3 linked regions of the Drosophila melanogaster genome follow. The protein of the gene in region 3 interacts with the protein of the main gene of each other region in a pairwise test. Each region holds a gene or a part of one and is shown on either strand. Other genes may lie near its edges.

Evidence for each region.
Region 1: the proteins of scu (region 3) and Drgx interact in a two-hybrid assay, tested with the Drosophila melanogaster proteins (one large-scale study listed by BioGRID).
Region 2: the proteins of scu (region 3) and Mpcp2 interact in a two-hybrid assay, tested with the Drosophila melanogaster proteins (one large-scale study listed by BioGRID).

The regions. Positions count from the first base shown.
Region 1 is NT_033779.5:3,660,831-3,665,832, reverse strand, and holds the start of Drgx (dorsal root ganglia homeobox), read right to left. Parts: upstream 3,089-5,002; 5' UTR 2,527-3,088; intron 1-2,526.
Region 2 is NT_037436.4:14,535,817-14,541,056, reverse strand, and holds Mpcp2 (mitochondrial phosphate carrier protein 2), read right to left. Parts: upstream 3,407-5,240; 5' UTR 3,355-3,406; intron 3,332-3,354; exon of another isoform or gene 3,209-3,331; intron 3,054-3,208; 5' UTR 3,026-3,053; coding exon 2,636-3,025; intron 2,329-2,635; coding exon 1,988-2,328; intron 1,505-1,987; coding exon 1,165-1,504; 3' UTR 616-1,164; downstream 1-615. Other genes in the region: CG43246 (uncharacterized protein), read right to left, coding at 3,866-4,113, 4,165-4,423.
Region 3 is NC_004354.4:18,089,336-18,093,398, forward strand, and holds scu (scully), read left to right. Parts: upstream 1-1,923; 5' UTR 1,924-2,046; coding exon 2,047-2,055; intron 2,056-2,219; exon of another isoform or gene 2,220-2,319; intron 2,320-2,616; coding exon 2,617-3,375; 3' UTR 3,376-3,518; downstream 3,519-4,063. Other genes in the region: Swt1 RNA endoribonuclease, read right to left, coding at 1-589, 648-902, 982-1,087. UniProt on the Drosophila melanogaster protein: Mitochondrial dehydrogenase involved in pathways of fatty acid, and steroid metabolism.

The sequences.
Region 1 (5,002 bases), on a different chromosome or scaffold from region 3:
GAAATTGCCTACCGCCCACCCACACACTCGTTTAGCTCTAGTTTTCCTAGTTTTTTTTGTTTTTGTTGTTGCCCCAAACCGAGAGCGCGATAATTTCCCACTGAGGTGAGATGATATGGTAATGGGAGGAGGAGGAGGAGGTGGAAGTGGGTGGCGGTAAACTGGCCGTCCAGCGATGAGGTTATCACTTTTGCCACCGAAGTAAAGTGCATCCGTTTTTAGAAATGTCTGCCTGTCCGGCCGGCGTAATCAAACTAAACTGGCGCAGTCTGCCACTGATGATCCAACTTGGAGTGGGCTGTGATATGATGGATACAGTAGAGCTTCCAGGTGCGGAAAGGATTTTTCAATATAATATTCATATCACAGTAGCTGAGAGTTATGATCTATCTACTCAATGATCTATCTAATATTTAAATGAAATACATACAAGTTGTTACACTTTCATGTTTTTGGAATCTCCACTGTCTAGCCAAACCATTTGCATATGCCCCCATCTAAGTATCCCTCTTGATTGCAGTTTTGGTTGAGCGTTTTCCTTTTTTTTTTTGCATATTTTTTTGCTGCTCTTGTTTTTGTCTCGCGGCGCATTAAGCGAATTTGCGAGGTTCGAATTTGATTGTGTCAATTGGCTCGCGCCTAGAATCAGGGAATCAGAGCCTCAGTGTAAATCGGACCGAAATGATGCAGTGCATTTGGCCGGAGAGCCACCCACCAGCGAATCAGCGCCCGAATGCTGCACTGCAAAAAATGAGCGTAAATTGAATTAGGCAGCCGTGTTGCACCCCCGCCAGTTTTTCGTGTCCAAGTGCCGCCAGCTTATACAAACTCGAAAGCCAAACAGAGCCGATTCCGAAAGCTAACCCTTTCAATTATATATACTTGATATACATACATAAATACATATATGTATGGTATATCGTCATCTTCGGGGCGCCCGCATGGGGAGGAAAATCCGTTGATCACCCCTACTGACTTGGTCTTCTTGTTTTATAAATATTTTGATTGAATTTTCTGTTTAATTAAAGCAAATTGTTTTGTGCATTTCAGTTGGTTAGGGTATGGGAGGTGTTGGCACCATATATTTATTAAGCTTTGTGGGGGGTCGTTAAGTGATTGAGAAACACAGGGGATGAATTAAAGTGGGCTATGAAATTTGCTAAGAGTGTGATGACGAAATCAAATGAATATGCTATATACAGATAATCAGTTCTAATTGTCGAATTATTCATTATAAATATATTAATATATTACAATAAGTTAATATTTAGATGGTTAAATATCTTTTTGAAACTAGTGGTACGGTGACATGTCTCATTTGCATATGGAAAGCCTCGGCGAGAATGTGTGGACTCCAATCTATCCATCAATTTGGAGCATTCACCAATTCGTTGCCCAATTCAATCAAGCAATCAATAAACATGGCCGAACTAACCTCCTTCGACTAACGTTCTCTGCGGTAATTCCATTTGCTAATTTAAATATGCCAAATTGTATTTTATTTGTATGCGGCCCTATCGCACCAGCCCCCTTTTTAACCCCCCCATTCAGCGCCCATTTCACTGCCCCTTTTTTGCACCCATGCTTCCCTAATTGAGTTGAACGAATCGAACAAAACTTGGCGACGAATGGAAAAACCGTTCGTCAACTCCAATTGACTCCTATGTGGATCCATCCAGTCAGACTTCCCAACCCTGTGTGCCACCCACCGCCCTCTTGCGTGGGCGTGGCATCCAGTGGAGCGTTGAACGTTTGCATGGCTGCCAATTAATTTGCGGTTGATCAATTTAATTTGAAACTTCGTTTTCCCCACTTCTTTTTTTTTTTGTTTGGTTTGCTCTTTGGCGAATTATTTGCCATTGATTTTGTACCCTTGCTCCATCTCCGTTGCGCACATGGAGAATCGGAATCCACGAGCTGTCTCCTCTTTTTTTCCCTCTCTTAATTACCATCAATTATTCAAACTGCATTTGCGGAGTGATCAACTTTTGGTCTGTCTTCAATTAAGCGGCGAGTTTTCAACCGAAATACCCCATCCCTTGCTGTTTTCGGGGGCAATCTCCTTTTGGATCCTTGCTGCCGAATCCTTTATGCATACACCAATTTTGGTTTTAATTCTTTTTTCGCCTCCAATCCACGCTTCTTTCACATTTGCACTTCAAGTGCTTGACGAGTTTTGTGCGATTTCTCACAGGAAAGGCATCGGCACAAACACTTTTGCCAGACACTTCGGGTCTGGCTCACAAAAACACACACTCCAGGACTCCGGACTCTCGAAGGCCGAGATTCTTATCACACTGAAACTCATTAGGAAATTTCCTTAATGCAAATTAAAAGCGTCTAAATAAATTATGAGCGCACGGTGTGCTGCGATTTGAATGGGAAGTTGAGGATTATCTTTTGAATCAGTTGCTTGAGGATAACAAACAATTCGATCATAACGTTCCAAAACCCGTTAATAATAATTCTTTTCTAAAGGAATTTCCGACTTTGTTATAAATCAAATGAGTGCATAAGAGATATTACCTTATTACCGTCCGTGAAAATTTTGGCAGCAATACTTCAAGCGTGTGACAGAAGAAAATCCCTTGTCGCTCTTGTTTTTTTGACTTTTTGGCGCTGAGCTCTGTTTGAGTTTAACTTTTTCGCAATTTTCACAGAACGAACGAACACGCAAGACAAAGGTGCGAAAGTTTCCCCGAGCTAAACAAGTCTAAACACTTGCCAGGAAGTTTTGCAAAAAGTTTTCAACAAGGATACGTGGGCGAATCACAAAGGAAGTTGGGCAATGTTAAGGATTCCTCTACAAATTACACGCTCAATCTCAGAGGTAATAGGCCGCAAAGAGTAGTTAGTTTTGGGTTAAGAACAAACACACACGTAGGTTTAGCACTTGAAGGAGCTGGATGTCTATGAGGAGTTTTGAGTTTTTCCAGCCTTGTTCGCAGCACCGTTTTGCCGACGGAAAAGTTTCCTTTTAGAGATTAAAAAATTGTCATTTAATCCAGACGGGTAATACGTATTTTTTCGGGGGATTTAGTAAGATCTATATGACATATATATAGTAGTGTGGATAGTGTTCAACCGACCGCGTGAAACGTCAGAATGCGAATGATCTAACGGTGCTTGCCGCAGTCGCAACGTCGACAGCGCAGTCGGCTGCAAATTAGATCTGCGCCGGCAGAAAGATGGCTGCGGGTGGGAAAGAGATGGAGGAGGAGGAATGGGGATGATGCCCCTAAGCGCCGCCTTTGCCATTTCCCGTTATTTTCGCTCGCGCATGCGCCGCGCAGCCAGCAAACCAAAGCGCAGTTGTTTCGAGACATATACCCATCTCGCTCGCTCACCCAACCCCCTCACTCCCTCTCTCTTTTGCTCTTTCTCCGGCATGTAAGACAATTTTCTCGCGCATTTTCATTGTGGAAATTGAATTTTCGGCATGGAGAGCTGCAAAAACAAAAACAGAAACGTTGAAGGGGCTCTCGTGTTCCTAATATCCCTATCTACTCTTATCCCTATCTACTTTATTTTATTACACTTTATTTAGGTGGCAAGGAGAGAGCGAGCGAAAGAGACGGGACTAGCCCCAAGGGGGGGAAGGAGAGCGCAAACAACTGAGGCAGCCTTAAATTGGATTTTCATCGTTAAGTGTGGTGAATGTGTGTGGGGCAGGGGGGTGGGGGATGCGGGAAGAAATGGGCGATACGGGAAGAAGAATCGCCTTCTTCGGGGAATCGCTTTGGTGCTCTTCGGGGAAGAGGAAGAGGATACTACAGCAGTAACAATAAGAAAACGATTACTCACCGTTGGTATTTATTTGGCATATCATTTTTTACCCCTCCCCACCCCCCACGAACTTTTTCTTTTCTTTGTGCCCCACTTGACAACTCAATTTATTTAGATTAATCTCTCATCTTGGGCAAAAAATAAATAACTAAGTGAATTTCAGTTAATTTATTATGGAGCATCATTGTTATGGCTTTTCTGTTTCCTCCCCCAAAGAAGAAAACACCCCGTATAATAGCAATTCCCAATCCCAGTGACGCCATCTTGGATCCCATTTATTATTGTTTGCCTGAATGGGTTCCTCTAGCTGTCCTTCGCCCCTCGACCTCTGACCCCTCTCTCAACCCCACCCCCCCTTCTTGCCACATGGCTCTTTGGCCACAATTACGAAATGAATTTGTGGCCTTCCGCAGTCCCTATTCTTCCCCTTTTATGCACTGCCGTAATTCCATCACAAATCTTACCTGAAATGTTCTTATTCCTAGGTAAAACATTATATAAATATCAAGCGAAATAAAATACTTTGCTTTACAATCTTTGAAATAGTATGAGTAGATGCTCTTCAAATTCTAAAAAAAACATGTAATATTTTTTATAATATTTTGCAACTGCTTTCTATTTTATTATCATAATCCAATTGTAAAAACTTGATCATCATTTGAGAATATATTTTTTAAAGTGTTCTGAATTTGGCATTTTGGGCGTGCAGGATAACTATTCAGTTTCTTCTGGCTCTCCTACGCTCTCCCCTCGCCTGCCGCTCCTTTCATTTGGGGGTAGCCTGTCAGGCCTGCAAATTGGCGCCCTGATTTATGACTTTGTCTATTGTTAGCTTACTTCCTTTGCCACCCACAGGCTCCTGGATTGCGGCCCCACTACGTTCCTCCATCATTAGTTTGTATTTTAGTTTCATTTCCAATCCGAATTTCATTTCATTTTGCGCTTAAATTTTGTTTTGTCCTCTTTGATTGTGTTTATTTTCCACTCCCTCTACATTTTCGGCGCTTTTCTTGGTTGGTTCGTTTTAGTGGAATTACCTACTTCATAATAGATGAGTCTGGGATTCGTTTTGGACGCCAGAGAGAAGGCGTGGCACTCGGCTTCTAACGCCTCTTCCTTTGGCAGGTGAGTTTCCAGCGATTCGGAGGAGGAAAAAAGATTTTTCCATCCACGGAAACTACTCGTGTTGCATTTTCCACTTTGGGTGGATGATTTT
Region 2 (5,240 bases), on a different chromosome or scaffold from region 3:
TATGTGCCCATATATAAAGCGTACTATTTAATTATTTAGTTTTTACTGGACTTATGACACAACGAGCCACTGTAATGTCTTATTCAGCTCAATGCTCATAAACAAAATAAATATTTTTGGAAAAAATACTGTAGTTCTTCTTATTTAGCCAAGACGTCCAAACCTTTTTTTAATAAATTTAATTGAGATGAAGATTTGCATTCGAATTCTATAGAAGCATCAAACAAATATTACAACAGTATCGAGTGGGTTATTAAAAATTAAATATGTAAAAATCGCTCATTGTGTTAAAATATTAATTATAATAGATTAGCTCAAACATCTTAAATCGACATTTTGTGCAACACATAAAAATTCTCGCAGACAATTGGCAGCTGATTACGATTAAACAAAACCGAAATTAGCCGTTTTCCTTTAAAGCAATCAGCATTCGTGATCTCTTGTTTGGTTACCTCACAATGCTAGTTAGTTATAGCGCCATAAAACCCCATTTTCAATGTCAGGGAAATCATAAGGTCATAAGGTTATCCCCACGATCGTTCTAATGTGATCACAGCCACAATCTATAATAACCAGTTCCCAATAGATAGACAAGATTAGAAAACGCAGCTTGGTAGAGTTTTTTATATTTTATAATTTAATTTATTCAGAGTGCTTTCTTGGGTATCGGGTCAGACAATTGAAACAGCATTAATATCATATTCGCATGTGTGGCCTGTGGGGGCAGCGGAGAGGAGATAACAAGGGGCTGGCCATCAAAGGTACAACATACGGACATACTTTCCAGCGAAAGCTAGACACACATAGGATTAAATATAGCACATAGTATAACAGAATATATATGGAATTGAATACTTTGAACTTGAGTGTAGCTTAGTTTCGTACGATAGAATGTTTGGCTTTTAAAGTTAGAAAGATGTGTTTATAAAAAAGTGTGTATAAGTGCTGTGTTAGAGAAATGCGTAAAGTGTTGTTTTGGAATGTACATGTGCAATGGCACACACGCAACATTAATGTATTCTTGCTGAGAAACAAGTATAAAGCATTTTCGCTATACTGAAACCGAAATTCGTTAGAAAGTAAAAGTATGTTGCTCCTGTGTCTGCCCACAATCGCTCCAACTAGTGAACTCTGTCCTTAAGGTAACCAATTGGACTAGCCCACTTAATGCTGCTTGGCCTTCAGGCTAGCTGGCATCTCTGGTGGTGGTGGGCGGGGAATGCCCAGGGCGACCTTCACACCATCGTAGATGAACCACTGCAGAGCGGTCAGGGTACCGATCATGATAATACGAGGAGTCAATCCGTTCCACATGCCACTGAAGCCCAGCGACTTGGCCACGCTGATGGCGCTAGCTCCCTTGGCCTGGTTCAGCTTGGACACCACCACATCAGCGGGATGCGACACCACGGCACAGAACACACCGGCGATGTAGCCAGCGGCGAAGGTCACGATCAGCTGCTCGCCCTTGGTGCAGTCGGCACGAGGCTTGGGCACCACATACCTGGGAAAAGTTGCATCATTAGTATTGATTTAACGGGGTTCGTTGGGGCTTGACAACCCGAACTGTGAACGGTATTGCTCTAGTTTTTACATTTGAACTTTCAGTGGCTACCTGCTAATTTGCACTTCAAAAGGAATGCTTTGCTTTTTTTATTTTATCCATAGTAACAAACTAGTTCTGAAATAATATGATTTTCCTATATTTGAACAAGATAAGCATTCGTCGTTGGTTTTTATTCTGGCGTGCCATTTATTAGATACGAATGGCATTCTTATCTGCTGACGCGCTAAAAGTTTATTTTATTATGAATACTTTCAGTTTTGATCAATTAGCATATCACTTTTGAAATTTCACAGATTAACAGTCTACCTTTAAACTATTGTAATAGCAAAACGCTAATACGAATACAGATATTGTGCACAGCACTGGTAAGTTTTTCCGCTGTAGAAACTAGAGGATACCTAAAGAGGAAATGTTACTTACTTGTAGAGCAGCTCCACGGTGCGCTCGAAGCAAGCGAACTTCATCATGGTGTATGGGATCTGTCGCATCCACAGGGGAACCAGACCCTTGTAGAAGGCATTGACGCCCTCCTCCTTTAGCATCTTGGGCACTGCCTCGCGGAAGTTGTTGGCGTATCCGGGAATAGTCTGGATCTTCACCTTGGCGGCCTCGAACGGCGCCAGAGCGATATCGGCGAAGAACTCGGCCGAAGCGGAAGCAGCCAGATACAAGGAGGTGCGGTACAGGTAGGCGTTCTCCTCGCCAATGATTTCGGCGTACTTCACCTTGAACAACTCGTACAGACCGAACTTGCACAGACCCTGAAAGATACAGAAACGCGGATTAGCCTGCTGTTTCTCAGAAGTTATTTTTCAGTTTGCAGTAGTATCCAAGATTTTATCTTCGGTATCTGTTTCTCCCGTAACCATAAAGTTGTCAAAGGTGTGTTGTTATTCTGAGGTATACTAAGATATCAGCCTAGGAATCAAACTTCCTAATGTTCGATTCGAATCACTTTTATCTGCTTCAAGCCCGGAACCGATGTAATTAAGGTCAGCCGACCTGGTCACGAGCATATAATTCGCCTCCAGACGATTATGCAACCCATAAAGTGAAGCCCAATCTCACCTGTGCCGAGTAGCCGAGCAGAGTGGGGAACCAGCCCTTAGCCAGTCCGCGGGCGCCCTCCTCCGCCACGGTGACCTTGAATCCGTGCACCAGATTCTTGTACTTGGCCTGGTCGACCTGCAGACGGCACTTCACCAGATCCAGTGGGACCACGAAGGTGTGGGTGGTGCCGCAGCTGAGAATGCCACCAATTCCGCACAGAGCGAAGTACTTGGTGCTGCCGAATTCGCACGAATCCTGCTGGTTGGCCACCGGGGTAGCGGCGGCGGCGATCTGGCGACCCTCAACCGGCTGGGGTTCCACCACTGGGGCGGCGGCATCGCATCTTGCCATCGACATGGGGGTGCGGAATGGCGAGTTCCGGGCAGTTTCAAAGAAGCTGGAGAACATCTTGATTCTGTTCTTGTTCTGGGGTCGGCTGAAAGTAGAGAGACCATCCATTAGTTACGTATATATGTACCTCGGAGGCGACATGTGCTTTATCTAATTATATATATAGCTGGGTAATCAGCTGCTTTTCGCTTTTGTAGGTTACATAACGGCGTGCCTCGAATTCCGAGCACCCGGACTTACGACACCAAATTTACCCGAAAAGCGAAGGATTTTAAGCAACCACGTAAATTTAGTGTATGTTAAGGGAGCGATAGAGCACCGCTCGGCTACTTTGATTTCGATTTTACAAAACTTATGCAATTTTCGCTCGGAATTTTCGCACTTACTATTCGTCAGCAACGTTAGCGGCTCGTTGGCGAGGATTCAAAGAATGAGGGGGGGCTCACGGAGGTGCAGCGATTTCTCACGAATACCAAAACGCCTTAATGGTTTTGCCGTGGAGAGGTGTAACTAGCGGATTGAGGATAGTTGGCCACACTCATGTCAAAATCTTCGGCTATGGACTGCAACCTTGGTGCAAAACTTTGGTGGCGCCTGAGCGTGGACTCGAACCATCTGCATACGAGGTATCAGGTGAGATTATTTTAATGCCATTGCCTTCGTTGTGAATAAAATATTAATTATTAATATTAATTTCATATTGATAACATTAGTTGTAAATATTTTGAAAAAATAATAAATTCATTTGTAAAATCCTCATATTTTTGCATAGTATTTGTGATTTGTTTTCTATTTTTACACAATAAAACAAATTTTAATCTAAAGCTTTATTGTATTTAGAACTCTCTGTAAAATATATAACAATTTTCAATTATATGTACATTTTAAATTTATAAGTTATAGCCCCATGGTAAAACTGGATAATTTTATGAGTAAATATGTGAAAATAAAGTTCTGCCATGATTTCACATGGGGTTGGCCCAATCCTTCACTTTTTACGCACGGACAGGAAATTAGGCCTTTGTATTCCATTTTATATTTCACTCTGCAAGTGAAGCAAAATTCACCCTGGTGATCTTCAGTTAATAAGATTTGACAACCGATTTCTGGTGACCAAACGCAGCAGACTTTGGCATTCATAGTATCTGTAAAATTAAAAAATTAGTCTTTTATTACTATTCAAATGCTTCTTATACCGATATGCAGTCCGGGTGGAACGCAAACACCCTCTTTATTGGTTGTTTTTGGGAATTCACCTTGTAGACGACCCAATCGCCTATAAAAGTTTCCTTCATAACAACTGAATCCTGTCTCTTTAATCCGACACATTTCCGTATTTTCCTTCCTACAATCTAAGCATCTCCCATTTTCTATTATAGATACGTTTTTTTCGGCACAGGTGATCAACAGTCTCCCACTGAGTATAATAAGAAAATATATACAATTAAAAGACATTTAAAATAAGAAAAATAATTCAATGAGACCGCGTTGATAAAGTTTATGTATGTATTTCCAAAGGCCACTATGTACGACTATTGTTACAAAACGAACAAAAGTGACTGATAATATACACTTGGATATTTATATTATGTAGGTTATTATTAAGTTCAAGGATTATTTAAGCCTTTCCGCCTTTTTTGTGGTTCTTACCAAAAGAACTTCAACGGACTCTTTCGCTAAGCTTTGAGTCTGTCTTTCGATTGTCTTTGTGCTTCTTTCTTTTTGTTTGCCGCCGTCTTTGCTTTTGCTTGTGCTTTTGTATTTGCTGTGTTTGCTCGCTCGTGGATTTCTGTGGAGTGAAGTTCGGTCGTCAGTTTGAGTTTGGTTCGTAGCGCGTTCGCACACGCGCGCTGTAGTAGTCCGATATATAGTTGATTCCCATTCGATCCGAGATCCGATCCGATATGATCGTTGTTGTGCCCCTCGCCGCCTCTCGCTCGCTCTAATCAGTTGGCCAACGTTTTAGGTCTGCGTACTTCGCGGCTAATTTCCAACTTAAGAAGTGAAAAACAACAAAATCTGGCAAATAATTGAGTAATTAAAGTTAAACGTAAGGAGAGCTGCTCTGCCAAGTGTTTTGTGTTAGTGCTTTTGTGTAACGGTCTGCTAACTGGAGCTGGATCTGAAATAGAGATTACGGCAAAGTGTTTTAGTAAATTGAATGTGGATAAGTTTTGAAAGCTTGAGAGTGGATGCGATAAACTGATCGATTTGGGTTTAGTCTGAGAAGAGGAAGCTTAAGTCGAAAAGTAATCAAGAGATTGGTCATGTT
Region 3 (4,063 bases):
CGTATTGCTCGCATGGCAATCACACGCTGCAGGCAGTCCGACTGGTACTTGCTCTTTAGCTTGTCCAGCTCTTTGATTACTATGTACGGAAGGTACAGCATGCTGCCCACCGTGCCCGGCAGCACCACATCGGTCAGTCTCTCCACGAACTTGTGGTTGTGTATGAGGACGTTGGTGTCCAGCACAAAGTACATGTAATCCTCAAGCCTTGGGGGCAGCTCCTCGGCATCGGCCGCCTGCAGCATCAATATAGTGTCGTCCTCTTCCTTAGCCTCATCCTGACCTTTCTGTGGCGCCTCCTCTTCAATGGACTCCGCCGGCAGCATCAATAGAGTGTCGTCCCCTTTCTTAGCCTCATCCTGATCATTCTGTGCCGCCTCCTCTTCAATAGACTCCTGCCATTCCATGGGCTCGACCTCCATATCGCTGGCCGTCGAGCCATCAAATGCACTTGGATTTGTGATGTTGCAGGCTTCTGGTTGTTTTTCTATCACCTCTTCGTTGATCTTGGCCACAATATTGTTGTTGCGCTCCTCATATAGCTGCTTCTGCTGCAGCGAAGCTCTTAACAGCATGAGACGCTGGTAGGCTAGGGAGACGATAAGGAGAACATGGGATATGAGTAACTATATGCACCGGGCACTCACCAGTTTGGGTACGTCCCGCCTTCAGGCGATTGGCATCGACCAGGGCTTTTGGCTTTTCCCAGGCATTCATCGCCACCTTAGGCGGAAACTTCAGGAGTCGCTGGGGCGTAGATGTGGACGCACTTGATCGACGAGATGCGGAGGAACTGTGGGTGATCCGCTTGGTGGTCCCCTGCTCCTTCTCGTTGTCCTGCACCCGCTTTAGTTGGCCCTGCAGGCGCTTGAGGCGGTCCTGGGCGGGATGCTGGCTCACTCCTTGCCATATTGCGTGGAAAAGTGGAGTTGAATCTTGGTTCTGGCATTCTGGCAAACGCGCAGTTTGCATGGGTTTTACCATTTGACGGACGTGGCGTGCTGATGATCCTAACCAGCTGGTCGTCGTCCAACGGCCTCAGATTGGAAGACTTTGGCGTGTGCTTACTTTCTCCACCGAGCGACATATTGTGTTCTTTAACATTTGATTTCTAGGAAGTACTCATTTATTTTGTATTTCAATAGGCAATCTGACTTAGAGGTGGAGAAACATCGATGACATCATCGATATCATCGATCTTTTCAAACAATCACAAGCATCGATGTTTTTCGAGGAATCATCGATGTTCTTCCATACATCGGAGGACAAAAGTATATAAATTGGGGGTATAAATTAAATTCGGATATAACTTTGTTATGATTTATTTAAAATACTCCTTATTTATATAAGCAATATTTTTTTTTAATTATTATTTATTAAGTGAAGTAATAAGAAATATTAAAAATGAAAATAATCTTAAATTAAACAGAAACAATGTTTTGTTTTTATTTAAAGCATAAATGTTTATGTTCAAATTAATTTAAGTTATAAACCATAAAATAAATTAAATGAGTATATGTAATTCTACGGCATACATTTTGGCGTGGAAGCTAAATACGAATTCATACAATGAATAGCTTATAACTAAAATTTACTGTAATAATCTATAGCATAAGTTGTTTTAAGCCATTGAATTTGAATAGCTAAAGATTTCATTTATAAAGACTTGAATGCTGCCACCTTAATTGTTGCAAAAACATGTTCTTGAAATAATAAGTTGCCAAGTTAGTTAGCTTGCCAAATAAAATCTTCACTGTTTGCCTGCTCGAGGTAATTTATATTTAAAAGTTCTTTCAAAATCTTGCAAATTAATTGCTTGGTAATAAACAAATTGATTTAAATTTAAATTTAAAAAAAAACTCAAAATTTAAAAGCTAAGCCAATGATAGGAGCCCCCTAACCGGTAGGCAGTATTTTCAAGCGGCGCACATACGGTCACACTGCACGGTTTCGAATCGCTTAACAAGTTTTTGCTTAAAAAGCTTTGCCGAGCACTAAGTAACCACCGCCTTTCGCACCCACAACACAACGCCACCAGCCAGAACAATGATCAAGGTACGTGGGGTGCTGTAAATAAGGATCACACTGCGATTAGACGGGAATTAGTGCAGCAAAAGCGGCCGATGACTGCGCGGCCGGGGTGCAAAGTCCAATTGGGATGTGAACTCGTGTCTATTATAAACATGGAGTCCCATAAATAACTGTATCTCTGCCCACAGCGATGTACCTTGTACCCAGCCAACAATTAGCATTACTTCCCCACCGAGTTATACAATAATACAATGCGGCTTATCGGGAAACTGGACACCGAACGCATCGGTCAGCTGCTTTCGAAATAATAAGATAAACCGGCATCGGATTATAAGTTTATCTGCAAATTGAGGATCGTGCTATTTCTATACTAACTTTAACGGACAACTTCTCAATGTTGTTAAAGATAAGGATCTCAGTCCTACAGATCGTATATTTTGCATTCTATATGCTTATTCTGTTAAGATCTCTAAACATTGATGTTGTAGTTGGGATGAAATGGAATGGAGTGCATTTTTAGAATCTATTTCCTTGGATATATACATATATATATAGTTTCTAACCCCATGCCTTTCCCACCCCCAGAACGCCGTTTCCCTGGTGACCGGAGGAGCCTCTGGACTGGGCCGCGCCACCGCCGAGCGCCTGGCCAAGCAGGGCGCCAGCGTGATCCTGGCCGATCTGCCCTCCTCCAAGGGCAACGAGGTGGCCAAGGAGCTGGGCGACAAGGTGGTCTTCGTGCCCGTGGACGTGACCTCCGAGAAGGATGTGAGCGCCGCTCTGCAGACGGCCAAGGATAAGTTCGGTCGTCTGGATCTGACTGTGAACTGTGCGGGCACAGCCACCGCGGTAAAGACGTTCAACTTCAACAAGAACGTGGCGCACCGCCTGGAAGACTTCCAGCGGGTGATCAACATCAATACCGTGGGCACGTTCAATGTGATCCGTCTGTCCGCCGGACTGATGGGCGCCAATGAGCCCAATCAGGATGGACAGCGCGGCGTGATCGTGAACACCGCCTCGGTGGCTGCCTTTGATGGCCAGATCGGCCAGGCGGCCTACTCCGCCTCCAAGGCAGCCGTGGTGGGCATGACCCTGCCCATTGCCCGTGACTTGAGCACCCAGGGCATACGTATCTGCACCATTGCACCGGGTTTGTTCAACACGCCTATGCTGGCCGCCCTGCCGGAGAAGGTGCGCACCTTCCTGGCCAAGTCCATACCGTTCCCGCAGCGCCTGGGCGAGCCCAGTGAGTACGCCCACCTGGTGCAGGCCATCTACGAGAATCCGCTGCTCAACGGCGAGGTCATCCGTATCGACGGTGCTCTGCGCATGATGCCCTAGATCCGGCTGAGCACTGTCTTGGACCTGTGGAAGTGGCTCGATCAGTTTGCATTTATCTATTGTCTAGTGGTTAAGCTGAAAAGTTTTATTATCTGTCCCGAAATTATGTAATAATTGCTATTAAACACACAATGTCACATTTCAAATTTTGGAGGCGCGTCTGCCTGCTGTTCTTCAACACTGGTTATATATAAGGGATAGCTGGGGTGTATTGGCTGCACAGGTCGTTGCAACAGGTGGATTAATTTTTTGTAAGTCAATTTTATTACTGACTTACTATTTGTGCAATTAATTCTTAAGCAACCATGTATTTATAATAAGAAAATAGTTTACTATCATATTTACAAAGTTGGTCTGAGCTTAAATATTTATTGAATAAAAGGGTATTTCTAAGTCGCTAGCCCTTAAGATTTCCCTGTTGTTCCCGCAAGTTGGCAGTTCCGTTTCAAAATGTAAACAACGAACATTTGAAAATCGCTCTTCAGAAGATAATGCCATATCAGCGCTGCTGAGCCGGGAACTTCGTAGGGCAGCTGGCGGGGATCAGGAGAATGTACCCCCTGTCCAGCAAACGGATCGCTTGGGAACACAAGACGCAGAGCAATTTAAGTGGAAGGAATCCCCGGCAGGAGATGATGCACTGGTGGTCAATGAGGATGCATTTTAAGTGAAGAAGAACGAAATGGAC